4 linked regions of the Anolis sagrei genome follow. The protein of the gene in region 4 purifies or fractionates together with the protein of the main gene of each other region. This does not show direct contact. Links are inferred from orthologs where the notes say so. Each region holds a gene or a part of one and is shown on either strand. Other genes may lie near its edges.

What was found.
Region 1: the proteins of DCAF7 (region 4) and PFDN5 purify together in Homo sapiens (affinity purification with mass spectrometry; 3 studies listed by BioGRID and IntAct, with this or other methods). This does not show direct contact. The link is inferred for Anolis sagrei from reciprocal best matches to the Homo sapiens genes DCAF7 and PFDN5.
Region 2: the proteins of DCAF7 (region 4) and SOWAHC purify together in Homo sapiens (affinity purification with mass spectrometry; 4 studies listed by BioGRID and IntAct, counting the BioPlex papers as one, with this or other methods). This does not show direct contact. The link is inferred for Anolis sagrei from reciprocal best matches to the Homo sapiens genes DCAF7 and SOWAHC.
Region 3: the proteins of DCAF7 (region 4) and TROAP purify together in Homo sapiens (affinity purification with mass spectrometry; 3 studies listed by BioGRID and IntAct, counting the BioPlex papers as one, with this or other methods). This does not show direct contact. The link is inferred for Anolis sagrei from reciprocal best matches to the Homo sapiens genes DCAF7 and TROAP.

The regions. Positions count from the first base shown.
Region 1 is NC_090022.1:187,059,860-187,066,740, forward strand, and holds the start of PFDN5 (prefoldin subunit 5), read right to left. Parts: upstream 3,016-6,881; 5' UTR 2,970-3,015; coding exon 2,898-2,969; intron 357-2,897; coding exon 254-356; intron 1-253. Other genes in the region: ESPL1 (separin), read right to left, coding at 5,945-6,146. UniProt on the Homo sapiens protein: Binds specifically to cytosolic chaperonin (c-CPN) and transfers target proteins to it. Binds to nascent polypeptide chain and promotes folding in an environment in which there are many competing pathways for nonnative proteins.
Region 2 is NC_090023.1:107,817,943-107,825,093, forward strand, and holds the start of SOWAHC (ankyrin repeat domain-containing protein SOWAHC), read left to right. Parts: upstream 1-4,141; 5' UTR 4,142-4,335; coding exon 4,336-5,832; 3' UTR 5,833-7,151. Other genes in the region: SEPTIN10 (septin-10), read right to left, coding at 3,775-3,804.
Region 3 is NC_090022.1:145,668,214-145,675,355, forward strand, and holds the start of TROAP (tastin), read right to left. Parts: upstream 3,007-7,142; 5' UTR 2,898-3,006; intron 1,048-2,897; 5' UTR 1,009-1,047; coding exon 862-1,008; intron 1-861. UniProt on the Homo sapiens protein: Could be involved with bystin and trophinin in a cell adhesion molecule complex that mediates an initial attachment of the blastocyst to uterine epithelial cells at the time of the embryo implantation.
Region 4 is NC_090026.1:51,932,721-51,940,593, reverse strand, and holds the start of DCAF7 (DDB1- and CUL4-associated factor 7), read right to left. Parts: upstream 3,004-7,873; 5' UTR 2,868-3,003; coding exon 2,730-2,867; intron 1-2,729. UniProt on the Homo sapiens protein: Involved in craniofacial development. Acts upstream of the EDN1 pathway and is required for formation of the upper jaw equivalent, the palatoquadrate. The activity required for EDN1 pathway function differs between the first and second arches.

The sequences.
Region 1 (6,881 bases), on a different chromosome or scaffold from region 4:
CATTTTTGGTTAGGTTGCTGTGAGCTTTTCGGGCTGTATGGCCATGTTCCAGTAGCATTCTCCTTAGCTGATTAGAAAGATGGTTAGAATTTACATCTGTCCTCAATCACTTTTAAAAAGTCACGTCGGTTTTTCCATTGCATCTACTTACTAAAAAGTGTGCCTATTGAATTCATTGGTTCTTTTTGGCTTTATTTTCATCGCTCACTCTGAGGAGAATAGCATATATATTTGAACAATACACAGTACTTGCCTTCGTTGCTTTTATTCAAGACAGTCAGGCAGTCCTTTGCTTCCACATATTTTGTCTGTACCACTTTAAGTTGTGCAATGGATGAAGAAAGGAATTCCACTTCCTAGGAAAAGTCATACAAAATTCAGAAGTTAAAGACCCATCACCTCCAGCAACCAGCTGCATGTGAAGTAGGTATTCTGAAATATTTGCCACCAGGAGCACTACACCGTGAACATCTAGACCAGAGATGGGAAAATTGTGGTTCTTCCAAATGTTGCTGAGTAGTATTTCTAAACAACAGACATTGTTGGTTACCCTGGCTAGGACCAATGGAAAGCCACACATTCATCACCCCAGTCTAGAAGAACAGGATTGAAACGACTACTTCATTACAATACCATTTACTTCCATCCAAAAGCCATGGCAGATTTGTATGACAAGTCACATTGACAGCACAGTCATTTGGCAGAAGGGAAAGACTGAATGGAAAGAAAGTGTATAGAATCCTAATAGACATGTGGTGATTCAGTATGCTTATCCCCCTGGTTAGGTATTCTGTTTTTTTCTCTCTCATGCACATGCAAACACATTTCACAGCAAAAACTTGGAGCAGACTTACATATATCGTCTGCTCCTTTTACACAAATAGAAGGTAATATTCAAACTAAGTATGACCATTTCTATCGAAGAACGGGATCCTTTTTCTTATGATAGAGAACTTCCCAGCTCTAAGCCAGGAATGAGGAAGCCGTGGTCCTCCAGATGTTGTTGGACTCTAATACCCATCAGTTAATAAAGGCCAAACCCTACTGCTCCCCTTCTTGGGCTCCTCCATCACAAATACACTTTTCAATACACTTTTTTACTCCTATCTCTTCCAGGGTTTTAACATTTTAGCTCACGCATTTGGCCTGTCCTTTGTGTTTGATTTATATTATGTTATTTTGCACAGTTTATTTTATTCTGTTATTTTATGTATTTTGCTGTGATGTAATTTTTCTGTTGCTTTGTTTTGAACTCTGCTGTATTATTTTTGGGCTTGGCTTCATGTTAGCCACCCCGAGTTCCCTTTGGGGAGATGGTGACGGGGTATAAATAAAGTTTATTTATTATTATTATTATTATTGTTGTTGTTGTTGTTATCAGTTCCAACATTCAAACCAAAAGATCATCTAGGTGCCATTTAAACGAATAGCACAAGCTGGAATATGTCTAGAGGAGGGCGACTAAAATTATCAAGGGTCTGGAGAACAAGCCCTATGAGGAGCAGCTTAAAGAACTGGGCATGCTTAGCCTGAAGAGAAGGCTGAAAGGAGATATGATAGCTATGTATAAATATGTGAGAGGAAGCCACAGGGAGTAGGGAGCAAGCTTGTTTTCTGCTTCAATGGAGATTAGGACACGGAACAATGGCTTCAAACTACAAGAAAGGAGATTCTATCTGAACATGAGGAAGAACTTCCTGACTGTGAGAGCCGTTCAGCAGTGGAACGCTCTGCTCTGGAGTGTGGTGGAGGCCAGGAAGCCTCTTTGGAGGCTTTTAAACAGAGGCTAAATGGCCATCTACCGAACCCAATTCAAGGTGCAAGTGCTTACCTACAAAGCCCTAAATGGCTTGGGACCTGCTTACCTGCATGACCGCATCTCCATTTATGAACCCACGCACTCCCTTCGTTCATCCGGAGAGGCCCTGCTTACGATCTCACCTGCGTCACAGGCGTGTTTGGTGGGGACGAGGGACAGGGCCTTCTCTGTGGTTGCCCCCCCCCCCGACTTTGGAACACCCTCCCCAAAGACATTAGACTAGCACCCATGTTGGCAGTCTTTAGGAAGAACATGAAGACCTGGCTATTCTGATGTGCCTTTCCAGAATAGGATAACCCCCAGCTCTATGTCCCAGTAGAGTTTAAGACTCTCTGCACTTGCACTTGCCCAGAATTCCAACACACCACCTCTCACACCCAGCACTTTTTAATATGTACCCTTCATTGGCCCGGCCCTGGTTTTATTGCGTAATAGTGTAATGTTTTCTTATTGCTTATGTTTTTAATTTGCTTTGTATCGTACTGTTATTGTCTATTGTTGTTGGGTTGAGGCCTTGGCCTTTGTAAGCCGCATCGAGTCCTTCGGGAGATGCTAGCGGAGTATAAATAAAGTTTAATAATAATAATAATAATAATAATAATAATCTGTCAGGGGTGCTTTGAATGCAATATTCCTGCTTCTTGGCAGGGAGTTGGACTGGATGGCCCATGAGGTCTCTTCCAACTCTTTGATTCTATGATTCTATCTACGCTCTGAAAGATATCAATCCTTGAGATTGTAACCTTCCCCTGGAGATCTTGAGGGTGTCACACTGGGCCTGCCCTCTACCCCGCATCCTGATCCTAGCGGGGCATCTACACTGCAAAATTAAGGCACTTTGACACCACTTTAGCTGCTTCGTTGCTCAATGCTATGAAATCCTAACAATTGCAGTTCAGTGAAGCACCACCCTCTTTGGCAGGCCGGGTAAAACGACAACTCCCACTCTTCCATAGAAGTGAGACCTGGCAATTAATGTGGTATAGAACAGTTTTCATTCCACAGTGCAGACGAACTCTAGGGGGGGCAGTCCAGAGGGAGACCAGGCCCCTGTTTCCCCCGCTTTCCTCTCCCTCACCTGGTCTAACTGGTTCTTCAGCACTTCCAGCTGCGGCAGGGACAGCTCCGAAATGTTCACCTGCTGCGCCATCTTGGAAGGAAGGAAGGAAGGAAAGAAGGAGCCGTTCCTCCTCAAGACGCGCTAGCAGTCGAGTCTATGGTCACTGCGTCTATGACGTTAGCCCAATCCACGCCCTGTTGCCAGCAAACGGCAAGGTTGGCCACAATGACCTCACTTCCGGCCTGCGAGCGAGGCGCCTCCTAGAGAGATAGAAGGGAAACGGTGGGATGCTGCATAATAGAATCATAGAATCATAGTGTTGGAAGAGACCTCATGGGCCATCCAGTCCAACCCCCTGCCAAGAAGCAGGAATATTGCATTCAAAGCACAATTACTTATTCATGTGCTTTGGCACTTTGAATTGCCATGGAATCCTGCGAGTTGTAGTTTGACAAGGTCTTTAGCCTCCTTGGACAAAGTGCTGGCGCCTCACCAAATCCCAGGCTTCCATAGCCTAGAACCGTGGCAGTTAAAGCGGTGTCGAACTGTATTATATATGGATACCTTCAGTCCATTTCATTGCTGGCCCAAGTTAGTATTCTGTTGTTGATGGCTTTCATAGCCACCATGACTGTGAGTTGCTGTGAGTTTTCCGGGCTGTATTGCTATGTTCCAGTAGCATTCTCTCCTGACGTTTTGCCTGTATCTGTGGCCGGCCTCCTCAGAAGTTCTGTTGGCTATGAAGCAAATGGAGTGTGTGTGTGTGTATATATATATGTGTGTGTGTGTGTGTGTATATATATATATATACACACACACACACACACACGCATACACCCACACACACACATCTGTGGAAATGTCCAGGGTGGGAGAAAAAACCCTTGTCTGTTTAAAGATAGTGTGAATGTTACAGTTAACAAATTGATTAGCATTGAGCAGCCTTGCAGCTGCAAAACCTGGCTGTTGCTTCCTGGGGGCATTCTTTGCTTGGGAAACTCAAGAATGGAAAACGGAATGTTAGTGGACAGGAAAAGAGATTTAAAGATGGACTCAAAGCCAACCTTAAAAACTCTGGCATAGACATTTATTTATCGTGTCAGGAGCATTACATTTTTATAACAAAACAAACAAACAGACAAAACACAAAGTTTGCAAACTTAGTAGTTGATTAAATGTCCTTTGACCAGTATCTGGCCACTTGGAGTGCCTCTGGTGTTGCCACAAGGAGGTCCTCCATATTTTTTTTGTCATGTCAGGAGTGACTCCTGGTTTGAGAGAATTGGCCATCTGCAAGGACGTTGCCCAGGGGACGCCTGGATGATTTTGATGTTTTTATCATCCTTGTGGGAGGCTTCTCTCATGTCCCCGCATGAGGAGCTGGAGCTGATAGAGGGAGCTCATCCGCCTCTCCCAGGATTCGAACCTGCGACCTGTCGGTCTTCAGTCCTGCCAGCACAGGGCTTTAACCCACTGCACCACCTGGGGTCCTCCATTGTGTATGTAGCAGGGATCAGGTTGCATTGCAGCAGGTGGTCAGTGGTTTGCTCATCTCCACACTCGCATGTCGTGGATTCCATCTTGTAGCCCCATTTCTTAAGATTGGCTCTGCATCTCGTGGTGCCAGAGCGCAGTCTGTTCGGCGCCTTCCAAGTCACCCAGTCTTCTGTGTGCCCGGGGGGGGGGGGGGGGGGGGCTCTCATTTGGTACTGGAGGAGACGTAGTTTTAAAAAGGGAATTTTCAGATATTTCCCCAATGCCTATATGTCATGATTTACTACCATTTTGGCCTATTTCTGCAGTAGGCCTATGTTCACAGAAAATGCTGATTGAGAAATCAGTGCTCCAAAGAAGAAGTTACTATTCAAGGATAACAACATATCCGGACAAAACCAGGTAGCTGTTGGCTAGTTAGAACCCCCAAGTTTCCCAGTCGCTTTGAAGCCATGTTTGCAACAGACTAACAGATAAGATACAGTCATGATCAGAGAACAATGGACTATAGTTATGTTATAGTTGTGCCATTGTTAGGATCCCACGTGTGCTAAAATGTCAATCAAAATCATAAACAACTAATGAACAACTGCATAGCTAGCTTAGACCAATGAAATGATTTGTCTTTGGGAACCAATGAAAATGTATATTCCATTTACTATAAATGCTCTGCAGCCCCATTGTTTGTCGTTATTGCTATGGCCATGCAATAATAAATAGTTTTTTGCAGTTTAAATTTCATAACTAGCTGTTATGAAATTTAAAAAAGTAATGTTTAAAACCTGTTGTTAAAAATGAAGGCAAGAAACATTGTGCTAGGCTACCCCGACACAAGATCACATCATTTATTATTTTCATTGCCATTTTAATCCATTATTCTTTTAATAATAATAATTGTAATAATAATAATAGATTTTATTTTTACCCGCCACCATCTCCCCAATAGGACTCGGGGCAGCTAACAAAGCACAGCGAAGTGCCGCATATAAATAATAAATAATCTAAAAATGATAAAACTATGAAATTACAATCACACACACAATTATAAAACATTAACCTTTCTTTTCTCACCTTGCTTGATTTTAATAGCAAGACTGGAAATGTTAGCAAAAGTAGATTGGCCAGGACAAAATCGGAGATTTAAATTTAGAACTAGATAGACAGCCATCCAAGATTAGATATAACTTCCCAAGAATCAAATGCCAATGATAATAGTGCATGATTCATGTGCAAACACACGGAGGGGGGGAGATTGTTTGCTTTAAACTTTATTTAGGTTTTGAAACATTAAAATTCATATAGCTTTTAAGAAACATTCATAATACTCTCTGAAATTAAAAATGTGTACATTGTGCAAATCTTAAATACTTGAAAGAGCAGCCCAGGTAGAAACATTTTGTCTAAAAACAATATAGGCCTTCAACAAAATATATACTCCTACTATACACCAAAAATGCATCTGAAGCATTTTTATCCTTTGTCTCCAAAGGCAATTTGCAATTAAAGTACTCAGAGTCAAGAAAAGTTTATCCAGATCCTTCCAAATGTCTCCCACCAGGCTCTTGTCTTTTCTACTGTAGAAAAACTGGGAGTCCATAAGCTATGGGAGCAGCACCAATCATGTATTTCAGTCTGGGTGCCTGGCGTGACTGAATGATGTACTGGAGCAGAGGAGCTCCAGAGCCTGCCTTCAGCCAGTTCTTCAGAAGAGCCTGCATGAAGCGGTCAATGTCTCGGTCAGTCACATCCCAGAGATTGCCCAGCACTAGGGGACTGGAAAACAAAGGACAGGGGAAAAGGAAGACAAGTTTATACTATTGATATCCTGCCTTTCTCCCACAGTGGGATTCAAAGAGGCTTACAATGCAAGCTAAAACATAATAGCTAAAGAATTATATGGTATAAAGGTTATAGCATTGAACAACAAATCCATCCAAGATGCTATTTATCAATTTAAAAATAAAAACCAGATTTTGACATAACAGCACATCTATGCATATCTGACTACTACAACCAGTTAAAGACCTGTTTCATTAAGAAGGAAGTTGCCTCTTGGCAGAAATAGGACAGAGAAGAGACCAACCAAGATCCCCACAGGAGAAAGTCCCAAAGACTATGAGCAGCTTCCAAGAAGACTCTCTCTTGTGTGTTCATGAGACAAACCTTAATGCATGGTCAGACAGAGAGAAAGCCATCTGATGAATATCATAAGACTCTGGCAGACTCATATAAACAGATAGTTCTTGAAATAGCCTGTAAAGGTAAAGGTTTTCCCCTGACATTAGTTCCAGTTGTGTCTGACTCTGGGGGTTGGTGCTCATCTCTAAGCTGAAGAGCTGGTGTTGTCTGTAGACACCTCCAAGGTCATGTGGCCAGCATGACTGCATGGAGCACCGTTACCTTCCCACCGGAGCAGTACCTATTGATCTACTCACATTTCCATGTTTTTGAACTGCTAGGTTGGCAGAAGCTGGGGCTGACAGCAGAAGCTCACACCGCTCCCCAGAT
Region 2 (7,151 bases), on a different chromosome or scaffold from region 4:
CTGAAGTTCATTTATATTTGCTATATTTCATCTTCTAAGTATGTGAATCACATACAATATTTTCTTTTTCCTTTCTCCTTATTTCCACGGGATAATTGTGAGCATTTTATATGGGGCGGTGGGAGAAACAATTCAAGTGCCACTTTAGAAAAGGGCCTCATGGACAGACTTTGGAGAACGACTATGCTACCCTGTAGCTGGGTTATGCAGTCAGGTTTTCTTTCAACAAAAACAAGAAGCCTGTTTGCACTGAAATCAAAGGAATACTGTGTCTTTCTCCTCGGGGTCGCAGAAGCACTTCCATTGTCTTCTCTGCCAAGCACCTCCCTGGCAAGCCATGCTAGTGATCTCACTGGCTTTGAGGTCAAAAAGAGGTGCTCAGCTATGAGTTCTCATCAAAATGAAGCATCCAACTTTGAGATCAATGGTGAGGGGGGGGGGGTCAATTGGGCTATCCCCTCACCACTGATGTTTTAGCTGAGTTCGTCATTCTGACCTCAACAAAAGTTATCTGGTCTTAAAGCAAGCTTCAGATTGTGGCTAAATCAGACTGAATGTTTCCTCCATACAAAAGGATTCATATACACAGTGTGATTTAGTTCTTTCAGTATATTGTTTTAATTGGATGAACTGGCCCTGAAAAAAAAACACAATAAAGTCACAAGAATAAGAATGGAAGAACAAAACGTGTGTGCTCTCAGAGGTAATATAAAATAGAAAGAAGGCAGCAGGCATTTCATAAAGAACTAATAACAGGTGGAAATCCCAAATATCTGTAAGAGAGTTCAAACACCAAACTTCAGCGGGTAAATTATCCCTCAAATACCAAAGAAAAGCAAACATTCACATCTGATCACCCTACTGCTATGGGCTCCTGACAAAATCGTAATGTTATTTTTTGATGCAATATATCTTGATTTATTTTAATATTTTGATTGGTGTGTGTGTATCATGTTAATATTTTTTCACCAGGGAAACAGAAGGCTTCATATGTTCTTACTTGTTACCTGGAGTATCTCTTCAAACCAAGTGGGAAACAAGTGTTTTAAAAAATAAATAAGACCTTTGAAAGAACCAATATGCCAGTGATTTACTAATTCAAATACTACTTGGACTTCTCAATATCACTCTGTGACAGCCTTTCTGTATATTTTACACAACGAAGCCCACAAAACCTCTCAATTCATAAGGTAATGCGCTTCAGAGAGATCTGGTGAATTCAAGAAAGTATGTGAAGAACACATAGTTTATTTGCTTTAGGGAAGGCACACTTTGCCTCTAATCTTGTTAGAGGTAAAGTCTAAAGTTTTATTGGCTAAGAGTGTTTATGTTTTCTGGAATGGTAGAAGGAAAACTGTGGTATAAAGGAAGAAACTCAGACAAGTTCTGCCAAAAGAGAAAGCATATGAAATTATTTATATGTCACCTCTGAAGGCCACTTCACATAAATTAGAGACCATACACCCCTCCATACGTGGTTGCACTGCAATTCCCAGCATTACTTCCCATTAGCTATGCCAGGTTGAACTGACGGAAGTTACAGTCCAAAAATATCCGCAGGGGCACATGATCCCACAAGCTGAATGCAAGCTGAAGCCATTCATTAGGGTCTGGCATGCACTGTAGATGCCCTGTAGCTGTTTTCAGCAATGACTAACACAACACACCTCTACTACATCATCACAAAGTTCCTACATGAATTTTGCTATGAAGTAGATTCAACACATAAAATAAGATAATTCAGCACTAACTGGTGTCTAGTTCTAGGAGATGAAGAGATAAATCCTTTTTTAAAAATGTGTGCTTCAGATTGTGAAATCAGATTGAATGTTCCTCCATACAAAAGGCTTTGTACACAGAGTGTGCTTTAGTTCTCCCAACAGGTTCAATATACCTGTTTAATTGGGTGAACTTCTTGCGGCAACACCAGAGGCACTCCAAGTGGCCAGATACTGGTCAAAGGACATTTAATCAACTACCAAGCTTGCAAACTTTGTGTTTTGTCTGTCTGTTTGTTTGTTTGTTTGTTTGTTTTGTTCTGTTAGAAATGTAATACAATAGTCTGGTTGCCCCTGACACGATAAATAAATAAATTGGGTGAACTGCCCCTGGAAAAAAACCCATCATACAATTACAAAACAATGACAAAAAAGCAGAAGCTGACAATATCTCAAAGGCAATATTAATAAATTATTCCTCAAATACCAAAGAGAATCAAACATTTACATCTGATGGCATATATGAGTCCATGAATGCCAACTCCTTAATAAATCCAGTAGCCCTCTGCTTGCTACATACCTAATTTTGGAAAAACTTGTTGGGGAAGCTGTGACTGCTGCGTGTACAATATTAAGAAAATGAGCACCTATGAATACAACATGCCGTTGGTGTTAGTTATTAATGTGACCAACACTTCTACCATAATAAGACTATGATTTAAAAATAAACCCATGCACAACTTATTTTGGAAGAGAGTCTAGCAAACTCAGTAGGACTTTTGAATAAATACTGCCAAAGTGACACCTGTTTGTGATTGTGCTTTTCAGTAACAAGATCTTTATATGAGTATGTGAAACATATTTGAGGCTATCATTTTAAGCAGTAGTTCCCAACCTGTGATCCATAGATCACCAGTGGTACGCGTTACTACACCATTGCAACAAGAGCAACTGGTCTCACGAAACTCTCTTATACTGTTGAGATTTATTAAATGCTAGCTGTCCTCTGCCACATGTTGCTGTAGCCCAGTCTGTGTATGTGTTTTGTGTGCATGTATATATGCATATGTGTGTGTGTGTGTGTATGTGTGTTTATGTATATATGTGGTTTTGTGCATCCGTTGTAATTTTTGTTGGGTTTTTTTTTTTTTTGCTTTTTAAGTATCTTCTGCTGTGTTTTTCAGTGTTTTTATGAGTGATGGTCACTTGTTGGCCTGATATGTGTATTGTGTCCAAATTTGGTGTCAATTCATCCAGTGGTTTTTGAGTTATGTTAATCCCACAAACGAACATTACATTTTTATTTATATAGATGGTTTTCTGTGAGTGAACAGATCGCGACTACTGGATGGTACACGTTCTGTATCAGAAACTAGAGCTGATGTGGTCTACCCAATTCAATTTTCTGAATCAGTCCCCCAAATAACCAAACCGAATCTAAAGTTGACAAAACTGATTTGTAACCCTTTTGGTATTAATGCTGTAGAGTGGTCCCTGGTCAAAAAAAGATTGGGAATCACTGATTTCGACGGAAAGAACCACTTTTTTCTTTGATGAAGAAACCTTACACATTTGTCCTAAGAAACAAGCAAAGCAGCCCAGAAAAGATGAACCCAAGACAAACAAAACGCTCAATGAACAAACTTCCCAATCTGATCGTATCCTGAGTAAAGGTGCATCTACACTGTAGAATGGCATGAGTTTAACTGCCATGGCACAATGCTATGGAGTCATATTTTGGTCAGAGCACAGCACTCTTTGGCAGTCAAGGCCACAATTCCCAGGATGACACTGCATTGAGCCAGTTGGAAAGAAGCCCTTCAGTTGATAGAGAGGATACTATTAAACTATTCTATATTTATATCCCTCTTTCCCTCTAAAATGACTCCCGAGTAGTTCACAGTTCAAAAGAACGATACAATGAAAGGCATACAAAACGAGAAGGCGTTAGGCTGAGTGTGAGGCCGGCTCCCCAAGGAGGCAGGAATCGTGGACCACCCCGCCCCAACAGAACCGTTGAGGGCTCCCCAACCGCCCCACCTCGCGCGGGACTCACCAGCGGCCGGGCCACATCGGAGGAGGCCATGACAGGCGAGACAGCAGGGAGGGAGGGAAGGAGGGGTCGCCGCGCGGCGGAGAGGACGGGCGGAGGAGCGCGAGCGCAGCCCTGCTCCAATCCCTGCGGCTGGAATGCCACACCACAACGCCGGGGAGGGAGGAAGGGAGGGAGCGCGAGAGAGAGAGAGAGGCCTCGCGGACAGGGAGGACGCGCGCTCAGCCAATCACATTCCGAACAGGCGGGGGATGCTGTCGCAGCCAGGGCACCCGAATCCAACGGGCGCGTGGGAAGGGGAGGGCGGTGTTCGAGCGGGGAAAGGGGCGTGGCCTCCAGGAAAGGGCGGAGCCAGAGCGACGGGAAAGTTGGGACGGAGCCGGAGAGGCCACGCCCTCTTTGCCGTCGCGGGTGTCACGTGGGGGAGGAGCGTAATGACGGAGAAGGAGTGGCGGGAGGGGGAGCGAAGAGGGAGCCGTGATTTGGTTTGTGCGAAGAGGAGGAGGAGGAGGAGGGCTTTAAGCCGGGGATGAGGAGGCGCAGCGCCACCAGGAGAGGCGGGAGATGGAGCCGGCGGCGGCGGCCGAGGAGGAGGAGGACGACTCCGCGGTGGGGTTGAAGGCGGCGGGCGACCCCGGGATGGAGCTGAGCCAGGAGGCGGTGCTGGGCTTTTTGGCGGAGCGGGGCGGGCGGGCGCGCAACGCGGAGCTGCTGGAGCACTTCCGCGGCTGCCTCAACTCCCCGGAGCCCGCGCGCCGCGCCCAGGCCCGCCAGCGCTTCAAGGAGATGGTCAACGCCGTGGCCGTGGTCAAGCAGGAGCCGCGCGACGGCGGCGCCAAGTACGTGCAGCTGAGGAAGAAGCACTGGAGGAGGAGCGGCGGGAGCGGCGCCAGCACCAGCAGCAGCACCAGCAGCATCGCCCAGGGCGCCTCCGAGCCCGCCGGAGGAGGAGATGAGAGAAGCAACAGGAGGAGCGCGGAGGAGGAGGAGGAGGAAGAAGATGCTCCTGCGGGTGGAAGAGCAGGCCTGGAGCCCGAGGGGGGGAAGCCTGAGGAGGAGGATCCGGGAGCCCCTTCTCGGCTCTCCTCCTCGTCGTCGTCGTCGTCTTCCTCGGGCCTGGCGCTCAAGAAGAGCCGCCGCCTGGGCAGCTCTCCTCAGATGAAGCGCGGCGGGAGCGGGGTGTTTCCCCGCGCGGGTGAGTGGGAGGAAGAGGAGGAGAGCGGCTCGAGCGGCCCCTCGTCGGTGGCGCTGGACCCGGTGGAGCACGCGTGGATGCTGCTGTGCGCCTCGTGGGAGGGCCGCTGGGAGAGCCTGGAGGCGGTGCTGAGCGGCGAGCCGGCGCTGCTGGGCCGGCGGGACTTCGTGACGGGCTTCAGCTGCCTCCACTGGGCCGCTAAGCACGGGCGGGCGGAGCTGCTGGCGCGGCTGGTGGGCTTCGCGCGGCGGCGCGGGCTGGCCGTGGACGTGAACGCGCGCACGGCCGGCGGCTACACGGCGCTCCACCTGGCCGCCATGCACGGCCGCCTCGAGGTGGTCAAGCTCCTGGTGGGCGCCTACGACGCCGACGTCGAGCTGCGCGACTACAGCGGGAGGAAGGCCGCCCACTACCTCAGCGCCGGCGCCGCCGGACTCCGCAGTCTCATGGGCTCCCTCCACGACGGGGGAGGCGGAGAGGAAGGGGAAGCCGGGAGCGGGGCCGGCAGCCGCAGCGGAACAGGAGGAGGAGGAGGGGGGCGGTGGCGGCTCTCCAAGGTGCTCCCCACTCACCTGCTCGCCCACCGGCCCGCCCACCACGAGGACAGCGAGCTCACCGTCGCCTCCTTGCCCGCCGCCGCCGCCGCCGAAGGCGCCCTGTCCGCCGGGAAGCTCAGCAGGAAGAGCTCCAGCGGGAGGGCCAAGGCCCGGCTCCACAAGGTCCGATTCCGCACCCAGATCGTCCACACCACGCCGTCGTTCCGCGTGGAAGCCGAGGCGAACGAGGAGGAGGGGGGAGGCGCGCCCGAAGAGAGGCCCCTCAAGGGCTCCTTCAAGCTCCGGCCCAAGTCCAACGTCTTCGGGTAGACTTTCTTTGGTCGTGTCAGGAGCCTCAAGTCGCTTCTGGTGTGAGGGAATTGGCCGTCTGCAAGGACGTTGCCCAGGGGACGCCCGGATGTTTTGATGTTTTACCATCCTTGTGGGAGGCTTCTCTCATGTCCCTGCATGGGGAGCTGGAGCTGATAGAAGGAGCTCATCTGCGCTCTCAGCGGATTCAAACCGGCACAAGGGTTTAACCCACCTCGCCACCGGGTAGACTGAAGGAGCAGGAATGGTGTGTTATCCCCAAGGAGGTTCGCCTGGCCACCCCTGACACTGCCTCCCCCGGGCCTTGGCACAGAATAGCCAAACAGGAGGGAGAAGTATTCTAAATAGGAAAGTTCAGTGGTGCAAGAGAAGGCCGCTGCACTGCTCCTTAAGGGCTTTGGAAGAAGGGAGACTGGCAGGTATTCCTGAGTAGGTGAACTACTTATACCTGCTGGCACCCCCCCCCCCTCCCCACACACACACATACACACACACAAACTACCCAAATTCAGTTTTGGGGGAGCTTGGCCATGCAGAACCAAACAGGAGGGAGAACAGTTCTGAATAGGAAAGTGCCAGAGATTGGACAGGGTCCTGTGGTGCTACAGAACGTCATTGAGCTGCACAGGAACAGTACAATGGCCACCTTTGGCACCACTGGACTTCCCAGTCAGAATATGTCTCCCACCAGTTTAGCAATTCATCATGATCTTCCTCCAAAGCCCCATCTGGGAAGAAAACTTGGCCAAGGTAAGAATTTGGGACTCTGAACACTGACATTTCAAAACAATGTGCAACTGAGTGTGTTGTCAAAGGCTTTCATGGCCGGAATCACTGAGATGCTGTGAGTTTTCCAGGCTGTCTGGCCATGTTCCAGAATTATTGTTTATTTATTTACAGTATTTATATTCTGCCCTTCTCACCCCACAGGGGACTCAGGACGAATTACAATGCACATATACATGGCAAACATTCAATGCCATAGACATGCAACATATATAGACAGACACACAGGCAATTTAACATTCCAGTTTTCCAGTCTATGCTCGATTCCGGCCACAGGGGGAGCTGATGCTTCACCATCCACTTGTGACACCAAGTCCTTGATGGAGTACTTCCTATTCTTACACACAAAGGTTTTATGGTGTCATTAATTAGTTAATTTAGCCTTCCCGCATAAAGTGGTACGGAAATTTCCTACTTGACAGATGTAACTGTCTTTTGGGCTGCATAGGTCAACAGCAAACTAGACTATTAATGGTCGGGAGCTCACTCCGAACCGGGCTGGCTTCAAACTCATTACCTCTCAGTCAGTAGGG
Region 3 (7,142 bases), on a different chromosome or scaffold from region 4:
CTGCTGATTGTTGTATTGGATCACACGTTGGACACTTCCCAAGTGTCTAGGACTATGTGATGCATTGGCGAATAATACGTGCAGATCCCAGTAAGATGGCCTTTTGCAGCTGGCAAATTGTAATTTTGTCAGTAACATTTGTGTTTAAGTGTAGGCCAAGGTCTTTAGGCACTGTACCCAGTATGCCGATCACCACTGAGACCACCTGTACTATCTTGAGCCAGACTCTTTGCAGTTTGATCTAATAATAATAATAATAATAATAATAATAATCACAACTGGGATTTATTATTATTATTATTATTATTATTAATATTATTATTATTAGGCTCCATCTCCTAACCAGCTTCTTCAATGGTCAAGAATTCTGGGAAATGAAGTCCAAAACACCCATAGAGCCCCAGGTTGTGCAGGCCTGGTCTAGAGCAAGGATGGGAATTATGCAGATCACCAGTCTCAACCCAACCTACTGGAAAGAATGTTAGCATAAAAAGGCAAATTTTAGCTTACCATAAAAACTCTTTTCCTTGAAACTTTCTGTGTGTGCTACTGGCCATTTAATGGTATTTCACCTACCCGCCTCCACATAACCCCAGACTATTTTAGGCCCTGAACAGTCAGGTGCTTCTGGTTTTAAAAAGGGGGGCTATGGGCAGCTGAGGGAGGGCAAAAACTGGCAAAGAACAAGTGGCCCTCATCCACGTTTGCCTTTGTAAATAAGAATATTGAAATTAAGGAGGTTTGATACTACAAAATGCGGGGTGCAGCATAGTACAAACATTTCTGATGCAAAGCAAAGTAAACAAAAAACAAAACAGAACACTATTTAGATTATAAGAAAAGCAGCTCTGCTACACATACCTGCTGTTTGGGTGCCAGCCTGCTTTTGGATAGTACAGGGATCTTGCTGCTGCTGAAGGCATTTGCCGCAAGCACAACACTCTCTTTTGTTGCCTGATCTGCGGGAGGCAAGGCTTCTTGCTGGTTTTCCTTCCCAATGTGAGCCATTTAGAAGAACTGTCCTGATTCTTCTGTCAGTATTTGTACCTGTATTATTGTTTAATTAAAGTTTTGAAAGAGGGAGGGAGGGAGAGAGAAACAAGTAGTGCAGCAAGACTTGTATGAATAATATAATTTTTTCCCCAAATTGTTGTGACTGTTTCCAGTCATAGTGCAGTCAGCTCAAGGTAGAGTAACTGTATAAATCTCCCCATCCCGTCTTACTCAGTAATGAAAGATATCTCAATACATACCAGACACATAAAACCTGGTTGTATAGTCAGCTTTTCACTGTTTCCTCTCAAGTTGCAGAATGATCACCAACATTCAACATCTTATCACTGAGTTGCTATGAGTTTTCTGGGCTGTATGGCCATGTTACAAAAGCACTCTCTCCTGACATTTCACCCACATTTATAACAGGGATCCTCAGAGGTTGAGGGGTCTGTTGGAAACTAAGTAAGTGAGTTGTTGAAGGCTTTCATGGCCGAAATCACTGGGTTGTTGTATGCTTTTTCGGGTTATATGGCCATGTTCTAGAAGCATTCTCTCCTGACGTTTCATCTGCATCTATGGCAAGCATCCTCAGAGGTTGTGAGGACCTCATAAAAAACCTACAACAACCTAAGTAATTGAGGTTTATTTATCCGTGGAATGTCCAGGGTGGGGGAAAGAACTCTCTGCTTGAGGTATGTGTAGTTTCCAACAGACCCCTGAACCTCTGAGGATGCCTGCAATGGATCTGGGCAAAACATCAGGAGAGAGTGCTTCTGGAAGATGGCCATACAGCCCAGAAAACTCACAGCAACCCAATGATTCCAGCCATGAAAGCCTACAACAACAACACTCAGCCTTCGGGTTGAGAAAGGCGGTATACAAATACAGTAAATAAATAAATAACGTCCTATCAACTTATTCATGAAAGTACCAGAACATGCACTGGTATTAGGATAAATACTCCTCGCTAGTTTTTAAAAGACCCTATGGATCTGAGGCCACCATTATTTGCCATCAGTAAAAGGCAGTTCAGAAAGAATAGGCCTGGTATTGGGATGGCTCCTAAGCTCTTTCCAAATCTCCTTCAGAGAAGCAGCCACGACACCGCTGCTGCCCAGAGAGATGCCACAAAAAGGAGGAAACTGGCACAGCCCAGCCTGGTTAGGCTAAGCCTAGCCTAATACAGAATATGCTTTTCATCCCAGTAATAAGAGAAACAGGTTTATGAAACCATTCTCCTGCTTGATGGCCATCTGTCGGGGGTGCTTTGAATGCAATTTTCTGCTTCTTAGCAGGGAGTTGGACTGGATGGCCCATGAGGTCTCTTCCAACTAGGATTCTAAAGCATACTAGTGCCTCACCAAACTCCATGGCAGCTAAAGTGGGGTGAAACTGCATTAATTCCACAGTGTAGGCACATCCTTAGTCCAATGCTCATATTGCTACCAAGCTGCCTCACCAAACTTCCACTCCCAAGGCTCCATGGCAGTTAAAGTGGGATGAAACTGCATTTATTCCACAGTGTGGGCGCTCATACCATTACACCAAGCTGCCTCCCTTCCCTTGCTCATGCCATAGCCCTTCTCCCCACGACTCTTCTTTTCCACCTTTTTAGAAATGCAGCCCCACATTTCCAATGCCAGGCGAGCACCACTCTCCAACCACAAAGATTGCAAAGAATTAATGCGGTTCGATACCGTTTTAACTGCCCTGGCTCACTGCTATAGAATCCTGGGATTCAGAGTTTGGTAAAGCACCAGCCCCACTTGGCAAAGAAGGCTAAAGCCTTGTCAAACCACCCTCCCATGCCTTGAGCCCTGGCAGTCAAGAGTGGTGCCAAACTGGATTAATTCTACAGTGTGGATGCACCCAAAATCCTAGCCTTCTGGAGGATCGCCCACCTGGTCAGATCTCTCTTTCTTTCTCTCTCTCTCTCTCTCCACTCCCTTCTTCCACCGAGGCAGTTGCTTTGCATCCATCCACACCAGTTCATAAAGCAGCAGAGAGCTCTGATTGGCTGGTTCTTTGCGTCACGTGGTTTCAGAAGGGGCGGGGATAGAACGTTGCAAAGGAGGAAGTGCTGGAAAAACTGCGTGGAGAGGAAGCTCTTGTAATGCTTTGCTTGGCTGGGCTGTGTATCATCTGTTTCTCTTTTTTAATATTAAATGTCCACATTTTGTACAATTATATGTACATTATATCACACTACAGTAACAATCTGCAGTTACTGTAAATTTGTGCCTCATCCCACCCACCCTCTTTCCCCTCCCCAAGTCACAGGCCTTTACTGACTACTCCATAATAAGAATGATAATTCTTTCTGGGCTGTTGTAGGTTTTTTCAGGCTATATGGCCATGTACAACAGACCTCACAACCTCTGAGGATGCCTGCCATAGATGCAGGCGAAACGTCAGGAGAGAATGCCTCTAGAACATGGCCATATAGTCTGAAAAAACCTACAACAGCCCAGTGATTCCAGCCATGAAAGCCTTCAAAGATAATTATTTCATTTCTAGAGGCCGACCCTGAAATGTTTTATACATATATGTCTCTGAGCATGTGCCGGTCATATTTATTATCTCATCATCTACACTAAATTAATGTAGTTTTACACCACTTTAACTGTCATGACTTAATGCTATGGAATCATGGAAGCAGTAGTTTGATGAGGCTCAAAGCCAACCTTAAAAACTGTGGCATAGACACTGAGAACGGGGAAGCCCTAGCCCTTGAGCACTCCAGCTGGAGGTCAGCTATGACCAGCAGTGCTGTTGAATTTGAAGAGGCAGGAATTGAGAGTGAAAGGGAGAAACATGCCAAGAGGAAGGCACGCCAAGCCAACCCTGACTGGGACCGTCTTCCATCTGGAAACCGCTGAGAACATGTGGATCAAGAATAGGGCTCCACAGCCACCTACAGACCCATCGCCAACACGCCACATCTGGAAGACCGTCACCCTCAAGCTACGAGGGATCGCCTAAGTAAAGTAAGTAAGTAAAAGTCTGATGAGCACTCTTTGGCAGAGGAGACTAAAGACCTTGCAGAACTACAATTCTGAGGATTCCACAGCACTGAGCCTTGGCAGTTAAAGTGGTGTCAAACGCCATTAATTCTACAGTGTAGATGCACCCTTATGAACCTGGCACACTACACTGTTACGGGGCTATCCTACCACTTTAACTGTTGTGGGTTGGTGTTACCCAGTGAACAGGCCATATCACACTGTGTGTGTGTATAACCCCCATGGATTTTATCCCATGCTAGATCATAGCTCAACATTGTAGCTAAAATACCAAAAATCGGCAACTACGAAAAACTAGCAACAACAATACACACTTGTAACATATGAGGACGAAATCTCATGATTCGCTGCGTCCATGTTAATTGCATCCATGTAAATTAGCAGTTGAAGTGGAAATACAGTGCTCTAACAATATGGTGTGTTAAGGCCCTAAGATTCTGAGCAATCAGGGTTCAAATCCAGTTTGTGGAGCTGAGCAAGTCGCATTCTCAAGAGGAACGGCCCTTCCACACAGCCCTATATCCCAGAATATCAAGGTGGGAAATTCCACATTATCTGCGTGTGGACTCAGATAACCCAGTTCAAAGCAGATATTGTGGGATTTTCTGCCTTAATATTTTGGGATATTGGGCTGTGTGGAAGGGCCCAGAGTCCACATTCAAATAATGTCAGATTTCCTGCCTTGACATTCTGGGATATAGGGCTGTGTGGAAGACCCCCAAAATAAATGGTAAATCTGTGAATAAACCCTGCCAAGATAATCTCTTTATAAGTTTCCTTAAAGCTGCCATAACTCAGAAATTACTTTAAGACAGACAACTACAAACACGCCTAGTAACATGAAGTCACCAGATCCCATCTGACCTTAGAAGATAAGCTGGGCCAGGCTGGTTGTTATCTGGACATGGGAGTGCAAATTTAATATTAAGTGTTGCAAGCTATAATTCTGAGCAAGACAATGTCAAACCCCCTTGTGAGTATTCCTTGTCTAAGAATATCCTATGAAGTCCACGGGGTCAGCATAAGATTATGGAAACAGACACTACCTTACCTCAAACATCTGGGAATAGCAGGCATGAGCTCAGAATTCTCCGTAATGAATACCTTCCATATGGCTATTGTAGTCTGTTGAAGTGGAGACATTATCTTGCAGCTGCACTTCATAGTGCCAATTACGACTCTCCACTCTGACCTGTGACAAACTGGGATCAAATCTTGGGATTTGTAGTTTGATGAAGCACCAGCATTCTTTGACAGAGAAGTCTAATGCTTTTGCAAAATGCCAGCTCCCATGATTTTCTAACAGTTGTGTTGTACGGAGGCTTTGCACAGTTGGTAAATCATCAGCAACTATAAGATTTATCAACTGAAAGATTGCAAGATCAAAAGCCCCGGGTCAGCATGAGCGGCTGACTGTAAGCCCTGTTCACTGTTTACCTAAGCAGTTCGAAACAGCTTTAGCTGTAATTAGAGAAATTAGGTACTGCTAAAAGCGGGGGAGGTGTTTTACGCCATAAAGAAAAAAAATCAGGAAATGCTGGAATGAAGAAATCCTGATGGCTCTTTGTCATAGAGGATGGAGCGACAGCACCCCCTGTGGACTCGAACCCAACCATCCATGGCATCGAAACAACACCTCCTTCTGTGCTGTCTGTCTGTGTACTGTCTATACAAAATGGCACTGAATGTTTGCCGTGTATGTGTACTTGTGATACACCCTGCGTCCCCTTCAGGGTGAGAAGGGTGGAATATAAATATATTATTATTATTATTATTATTATTATTATTGTATTAATTCTACAATAAAGCCAGAATTTGAACAAACCACAACCCTTCTATTAGGTATGAAATCCAACTATTGAGTTATGGGGAATTTTGCAAGAAAGGCTACTTAGCATCAGAGAACACACACGTGCACACACAAAAGAGTAGAGAAGATCTCTTCAATATGATATTTATTGGCTGGTTGGAAGCAATACATGGCACACAACAGCCAAGTGGCATGAAGTAACAGTCACTCTTCAGGGGAGATCTAGAAGCACCAGAAACAATTCTACAGCAAGCACTCCCACATTTCCATACTGCATTTGTGTTGTCTTTGTAGGAGTGTGAGATAGATTGTTTTGTCACCTGGGCATTACTACATCACCTTTTCACAAGTGACACATTTGTGAGACAAGCCAGAGGGATACCCCAGAGTGCCAATACGTGAGGGCAGGGTTAGGGCACAGCACAGAAGAGTAATTAGTGCAGTATGGAAATCACATTATTGTGCCAAGACTGACTGGATCAGATTTGGGGCTTTGATACAAAGATCCTAGTATGGAGGAAGATAGCACCAGGTGTTCTCACGAGCTGTGATTAGGGGTATGGCTGCATGGCTATCAGAAACAGGGGAATCAGCACCAAAACCCATAAAAGGGGATCTGTGTTCCAAAGAAGAGGAAGAAGGAAAATGATAGAAGCAAGCTAAATCAGATGTCAAAAATCCAGCAGAAGAACTATGCTATGTGCCAATGCCATTATTTAAAGAACTATTCTCAGCACATTTCGAATTACAGTATAGTGCAACTCAATCCTATACAAGTGAAGCATATCAATGTGTGGGACTGCAAACCTGAAGGCTGGAAAGTAGTGTTGCTACTGCTGCTGTTTTTCGAGAGGGATGGTTATATAACTATGACACATTTGCAAATGTTGCTTTATTTCTGCAGCTGTCAGAAGGGGATCTGGAGAAAAAATAATTATCCAGATAGGTGTCCCAAACAAAAGAAAACAAGAGGAATCTCATACCACCCATGAAAGTTGTCTAGATCCCAGTCTTTGGTCTTCCAGTTGTTTGGGACTTCCAACTCCCAGAAGCCCCAGCCAGCATTGCCAACTCTCAAAAATTCTGGGAGCTGAAATTTTAAAAAGAAACATGAAAAACCAAAGGTTGGGAATCACTAGTCTAGATGATGAGATTCCTCAGTTATAGACAGTGCTTCCAGAAGTTATGGACTACAACTCCCAGAATTCCTCAGTGGCTGGAGCATTCTGGGAATTGTAGTCTAAGTAATTACTCCAAATAAGTGGTAAGAATGCTGCACATTGCAACATGTTGGGAGACTGAGATCATTTTAA
Region 4 (7,873 bases):
GGACACTGCCCACCAAACCCTTCCAGTATTTTCTGTTGGTCGTGGGAGATCTGTATGCTAAGTTTGGTTCAATTCCATCATTGGTGGGGTTCAGAATGCTCTGTGATTGTAGGTGAACTATAAATCCCAGCCACTACAACTCCCGAATGTCAAGATTCTATTTCCCCCAAACTCCACCAGTGTTCACATTTGGGCATATCGAGTATTCGTGTAGAGTTTGGTCCAGATCCATCATTGTTTGTGTCCACAGTGATCTCTGGATGTAGGTGAACTTCAACTCCAAAACCAAAGGACAACACCAAACCCTTCCAGTATTTTCTGATGGTTGTGGGAGATCTTTGTGCTAAGTTTGGTTCAATTCCATCGTTGGTGAGATTCAGAATGCTCTTTGATTGTAGCTGAACTATAAATCCCAGCAACTGCAACTCCCAAATGACAAAATCAATTTTTTTTTAGTGAAGGACATATATAGGGTTGCTGGGTGTATCGTGTCCAAATTTGGTGTCAATTCCCCCAGTGGTTTTTGAGTTATGTTAATCCCACAAACGAACATTACATTTTTATTTATATAGACTAGCCGTCCCCTACCACGCATTGCTGTGGCCCAGTCTGTGTCTATGTGTTTTGTGTGTTTACGTATATATGTGTGGTTTTGTGCATGCATTGTAATGTAATTTTGGGGTTTTTTTTTTTTTTTGCTTTTTAAGTCCCTTTTGCTGTGTCTTTTTTTTTAAATGAATGATGGTCACTCATTGGCCTGATAGGTGTCTTGTCTCCAAATTTGGTGTCAATTCGTCCAGTGGTTTTTGAGTTATATTAATCCCACAAACGAACATTACATTAGGTTCTTGTGGGTTTTTTCGGGCTATAGGGCCATATTGTAGAGCAGTGTTTCTCAACCTTCCTGATGCCTGATGCCGCGACCCCTTAATACAGTTCCTCATGTTGTGGTGACCCTCAAACATAGTGTTATTGTCATTGCTACTTCATAACTGTAATTTTGCTCCTGTTATGAATCATAATGTAAATATCTGATATGCAGGATGTATTTCATTCACTGGACCACATTTGGCACAAATACCCATATGCCCAAATTTGAATACTGGTGGGATTTGGGGTGGGCGGTTGATTTTGTCATTTGGGAGTTGTTGTTGCTGGGATTTATAGTTCATTTTCAATCAAAGAGCATTCTGAACTCCACCAACGATGGAATTGAACCAATTTTGATGCACAGAACTCCCATGACTAACAGAAAATACTGGAAGGGTTTGGTGGGCACTGACCTTGACTTTTGGGACTTGTAGTTCACCTACATCCAGAGAGTACTGTGGACTCAAACAATGTTGGATCTGGACCAAACTTGGCACAAATACTCAATATGCCCAAATGTGAACACTGGCGGAGTTTGGGGAAACTAGACCTTGACATTTGGGAGTTGTAGTTGCTGGGATTTATAGTTCACCTTCAATCAAATAGCATTCTGAACCCCACCAACGATAAAATTGGGCCAAACTTCCCACACAGAACCCCCATGACCAACAGAAAATACTGTGTTTTCTAATGGTTTTTGGCGACCCCCCTGACACCGCCTCACGACCCACCCAGGGGTCCTGACCCCCAGGTTGAGAAACGCTGTTCTAGAGGCATTTCTCCTGATGTTTCGCCTAACGTCAGGAGAAATGCCTCTAGAACATGGCCCTATAGCCCGAAAAAACCCACAAGAACCTAGTGATTCCAGCCATGAAAGCCTTCGACAATACATTGAACATTACATTTTTATTTATATAGATTATATGTGTCCTCACTACCAGATAATCTGGGATAAACAGAAAACCTGGGATCAGATCCTGGGATACAGGGCCTGTCTGGAAGGGCCCTAGATTATCTGAGTCCACATCGCCATATATTCCAGCTCAAAGCAGATAATGTCGGATTTTATTCAGATAACCAGGTCAAAGCAGACATTGTGGGATTTTCTGCCTTGATATTCTGGGTTATATGGCTGTGTGGAAGGGCCCTCTGGAGCCTTCTGCTTGGAATAAATGCCCCAACTGTCACTATGGCCTGTGCGATGATGGGATGTGTAGTTTGGGGAGGTAATTGGCAGAGATGTGTGGTTTTGTGCATGCATTGTAATGTAATTTTGGGGGGGGGGTGGCTTTATAAGTCCCTTTTGCTGTGTGTTTTTTTTTAAATGAGTGATGGTCACTTGTGTCCAAATTTCGTGTCATTTCGTCCAGTGGTTTTTGAGTTATATTAATCCCACAAACGAACATTACATTTTTATTTATATAGATCTGAGTCCACACCGCCATATATTCCAGTTCAAAGCAGATAATGTGGGATTTTATTCAGCTGTGTGGAAGGGGCCTCAGATAACCCAGTGGGATTTTCTGCCTTGATATTCTGGGTTATAGGCCTGTGTGGAAGGGCCCTGTGGAGCCTTCTGCTTGGAATAAGCGCCCCAACTGTCACTAAGGCCTACGCGGTGATGGGATGTGTAGTTTGGGGAGGTATTTGGCAGAGATCGACAGCCACACGGAACTACAAATCCCGGCGGGAGATGTGGCTGTGGAAAAGGGGTCCAGCCTCTGCCTTTCCCTGAGGAGAAGCAGAGGGAGGCCTCCCGCAGCAGGCAGGCAGGCAGGAGAGGGGCCAGGCCTCCGGCCTTGCGTGGCGCCTCACCCGCGGCCTCCCTCCCTCCTCCCTCCCCGCTCTCCGCCGCCTACTTTATTGTTGTATTCCTCCACGAAGCTGCCGAGCGCCAGCCTGAAGCGCTTGTCGGGCCTGACGCTCCAGTTCATGGCGTAGACGGTCCATGGCGCCTCGTACTTGTAGATCTCCTTGCGCTTCCCGTGCAGCGACATGGCGGGAGGGAGGGAAGGCCTCCTCCTCCTCCTCCTCCTCCTCCCGCAGCGGCGGCGGCGGCCCTTCTCCCTCTCCCTCGCACACAACGGCGACCGCCAACTACTCTCCGTCGCCGTTCGCCCACTGCGACTCGGGCCCGGCCCTCTCATTGGCTGCCCGCCACGCCATTCCACAAAGCTCCGCCGCTCATTGGTTCCCCGGCAGCGTCGACGCTATTGGCGGGAATACTTGTCGCTCTTGATTAAAACCCGCCCCTCTGACAAAAAATAATAATCAGGCTATATCATAGCCACAGGTAGATAGATGTATAGAGAAAAACATAGAGCAAGTAAGCCTTTAGGGCAGAGGTCCTCAAACTTAGACCCGGGGGCCAGATATGGCCCTCCAAGGTCATTTACCCGGCCCCTGCTCAGGGTCAACCTAAGTCTTAAACAACTTGAAGGCACACAACAGCAACAACAATCCTATCTCATCAGCCAAAAGCAGGCCCGCACTTGCCATTGAAATACGAATAGGTTTATATTTGGGTTGTTGTAGGTTTTTTCGGGCTAGATGGCCATGGTCTAGATCAGGGGTCCACAAACTTTTTAAACAGAGTGCCAGGTCACAGTCCCTCAAACTGTTGGAGGGCCAGAGTATAACTTGAAAAAATGAATTAATTTCTTTGCACACTGAATATATTTTATTTGTACTGCAAAAAATCACTTAAAAGCAATACAATAATTAACATGGAGAACAATTTTACCAAATATAAACTTATTATTATTTCAGTGGGAAGTGTGGACCTGCTTTTGGCTGATGATATAGGATTGTTATTCAATCAATCAATGATTTATTACGGTCTTTGACCAGCACAGTACAGAATGGGGCATCGGTGCCCAAGGAAGGGAATCGCAGTTCCCAAGTAGATAGTAGGTATAAAAGTAGGTATAGTTCCCAAGTAGATAAGTAAGTATAAAAGCAGATTAAAAGCAGACTAAAAACATGTTATAAAAGAGACAAATTAAAAAGATAAAACAGACTAAACTTACAGTTTAAAGTGCATGTATGAATCTAAAATAGGGGGCGGCTAATAACAAATATCAGACGACTGGGAAGTTATAAAAGGAATGAGAGGGGAGCATTTACAGGATTGTTATTGTTGTGTTGTGCTTTCAAGTTGTTTCAGACTTAGGTTGACCCTGAGCGAGGGCCAGGTAAATGACCTTGGAGGGCCGCATCTGGCCCCCGGGCCTTAGTTTGAGGACCCCTGGTCTAGAGGCATTTCTCTCCTGGCCATATAGCCTGAAAAAACCTACAACAACCCAGTGATTCCGGCCATGAAAGCCTTCGACAATACAAGTTTATATTTGTTAAAATTGTTCTTCATTTTAATTATTGCATTGTTTTTAAGTGTTTTTTGCACTACAAATAAGATATGTGCAGTGTGCATATGAATCCATTCTTTTTTTTTTCAAATTATAATCCGGCCCTCCAACAGTTTGAGGGACTCTGACATGGCCCTCTGTTTAAAACGTTTGAGGACCCCTGCTTTAGGGGTTCAAACCACACCTGAAAAATTTCCCATGAATTTTTCTTGGTTAAACAAATCTCCATGCCAAATCTATGAGAAGAAAAATTAGAGTCCCTCCAGAACTGCAAGCACCTTCTCCACCAAATCTAGATGGTTCATTACCCACTTTTCTACCAATTTACATTGTATGGGGATACTACATCACCTTGTCTGTCTCCTGAGGGACCTGAATAAAGACCAAGTAGCAACAGTAAGAACTGACCATGGAACAACAGACTGATTCAAGACTGGGAAAAGCGTACGGCAGGGCTGTATACTCTCACCCAACCTATACAGCTACGGAGCCCCCAGTGGCGTAGTGGGTTAAACCCCTGTGCCAGCAGGACTGAAGACCGACAGGTCGCAGGTTCGAATTCGGGGAGAGGCAGATGAGCTCCCTCTATCAACTCCAGCTCCTCATGCAGGGACATGATAGAAGCCTCCCACAAGGATGATAAAACATCAAATCATCCTCTGGGCAACGTCCTTGCAGATGGCCAAGTCTCTCACACCAGAAGCGACTTTCAGTTTCTCAGGTTGCTCCTGACACGACAACCCCCCCCCCCCAAAAAAACAAAAACAACAACAACTATTCAACTTGTAGGCAGAACACATCATGCGATGCGCGGGACTTGACAAATGCAAGGCTCGGGTGAAAATTGCTGGAAGAAACATTAACAACCTCAGATATGCAGATGACACCACTCTGATGGCCGAAAGTGAGGAGGACCTGAGGAGCCTTCTAATCAAGGTGAAAGAAGAAAGCACAAAAGCCGGGTTGCAGCTAAACATAAAAAAAACCAAGATTATGGCAACAAGAATGATTGACAACTGGGAAATAGAGGGAGAAAATGTGGAGGCCGTGACAGACTTTGTATTACTAGGTGCAAAGATTACTGCAGATGCAGACTGTGGCCAGGAAATCAGAAGACACTTACTTCTTGGGAGGAGAGCAATGTCCAATCTCGATAAAATAGTAAAGAGCAGAGACATCACACTGGCAACAAAGATCCGCCTAGTCAAAGCCATGGTATTCCCTGTAGTAACCTACGGATGTGAGAGCTGGACCTTAGGGAAGGCTGAGCGAAGGAAGATAGATGCTTTTGAACTGTGGTGTTGGAGGAAAGTTCTGAGAGTGCCTTGGACTGCGAGAAGATCCAACCAGTCCATCCTCCAGGAAATAAAGCCCGACTGCTCATTGGAGGGAAGGATATTAGAGACAAAGTTGAAGTACTTTGGCCACATCATGAGGAGACAGCAAAGCCTAGAGAAGACAATTATGCTGGGGAAAGTGGAAGGTAAAAGGAAGAGGGGCCAACCACGGGCAAGATGGATGGATGGCAGCCTTGAAGTGACTGGACTGACCTTGAAGGAGCTGGGGGTGGTGACAGTCGACAGGAAGCTCTGGCGTGGGCTGGTCCATGAGGTCACGAAGAGTTGGAGACGACTGAACGAATGAACAACAACAACATTTCTTTAAAGAGCTTTTTTCTTTGCTGCTTTTTACTTATCTTTAATAAAAGGATTGTTTTTTTCCTATTCAATGTGTGGTGTTTAAAGTCAGAGGATTATCCCTGTTCTGGAGTACAACAGTCATCGCTTTTACTTTCCAGGCCAAAACAAAAACTCTGTGGAACAAGGATTGGTGATAAAGCTTCAGTGTACATTTGGGGACTGCCTGTACTCCACTTGCCATATGCCTTCAAGTTGTTTCTGACTTGTTGCAGCCCCTTTACAGGACTGTCTTGGTAAGATTCGTTCAGAAGAGGTTTGCCATGGCCTTCCTCTGAGGCTGAAAGAATGTGATGTGTCCAGCATTACTCACTGGGTTTAAAGGTCAAGCGGAGATTCAAATCCAGAATTGTAGCCCAATGTTCCAACCACTAGCCTAGTTGACTTTCCACTTATAGGAGTGAAATATCTCATTGATCCTAGTAAAGCTTATTTCCAAGTGGATAAAAAAATATGAAATTATAAGTCAGCATTTCTCACACAGGCACTTTGGTCACCTGTGACATTGATATCAGCACAGACTTTAAAATACTGAATATACTCGAGTATAAGCCTAGTTTTTCAACCCCCTTTTTAGGCTGAAAAACCTCCCCTCGGCTTATACTCGAGTCAGTGTTATTTACTATTTTACTCTGTTATTAGTATTATTTTTATTGCATTTATTATTTTACTCTATTTATTATTATTATTATTATTATTATTATTATATTTATTATTTTACTCTTTATTGTTATTATAACATTTATTGTTTTACTCTATTATTGTTGTTCTTACATTTATTATTTTACTCTTTATTGTTATTACATTTATTATTTTACTCTATTTATTATTGTTATTATTACATTTATTATTTTATTCTCATTACTGTTATTACATTTCCATTATTTTACTCTATTATTATTTTTATTACATTTATTATTTTACTCCCTTTATTATTATTGGAAGGATATGTGAGCACATTTACGTTGAAGAAGGTTAGAATAATGGTTTAATCAGAGTTGGACAGCCTTATCTTAAATTACAATTTTATGTAAATATTTTTGAATATTTACTCTACTGATGCCTCAATTAATGTAATTTTATTGGTATCTATTTCTATTTTGAAACTTACCAGTAGCTGCTGCATTTCTCGCCCTCGGCTTATACTCGAGTCAATAAATTTTCCCATTTTTTTTGTGGTAAAATTAGGTGCCTCGGCTTATATTCGGGTCGGCTTATACTCGAGTCTATACGGGTAGTCCTTGTGTTTCCATAATGCACTGTCAAGAGTTTAATAAACAAACTATGGATGGACAAGACCAAACTTCTTGTTTCTAAAATAAGCTGAAATGCACACATACTGGTTTCATGTGATAAATCAGTAATGCAAAACGATGTTCCCTGGGGGCTGCATGAAGCCCCATCAATACTGCTATATAATCCAGTTACTGGCAGTGTAGACCCAAATAATCCAGTTCAAAGCAGATAATATTGATTCCGAAACTGGATTATATAGCAGTGTAGATCCAGCCTAAGGGAAAGGGCATGTGAGGGCAGTGGGGCTCTAGATTACTACGGGAACCAAAGAAAGGGCTAGAGGAGTAACTGGCCTAAAAACCCTAGAGAGCTGCTGTCTGAATTGACCATACTAGGCAAGAGGGACCAATGATCAACGAACCAATGTAAGATACCTTCTATGTTCCTGTCTGAAACTGGAGATGCCCCAAGAGAGTAATGTACTTAATTGAACCTTTGTTGATATCTCAAATATACTTTTTGGGGGGGTTGGGGGGATCTCCCATTGAAATCCAAACCAATCAGAAACCTGGGAGTGTAGTGGAAAGAAATCCTATCACCCAAACCGTTATAACCATTATCCACTGATAAACCTTAGTTGAAAGTATTCATGGGCTGTTTTAGTTAAGAAGGAACACATTTAGTACGTGCCCCGTGTAATCTCAG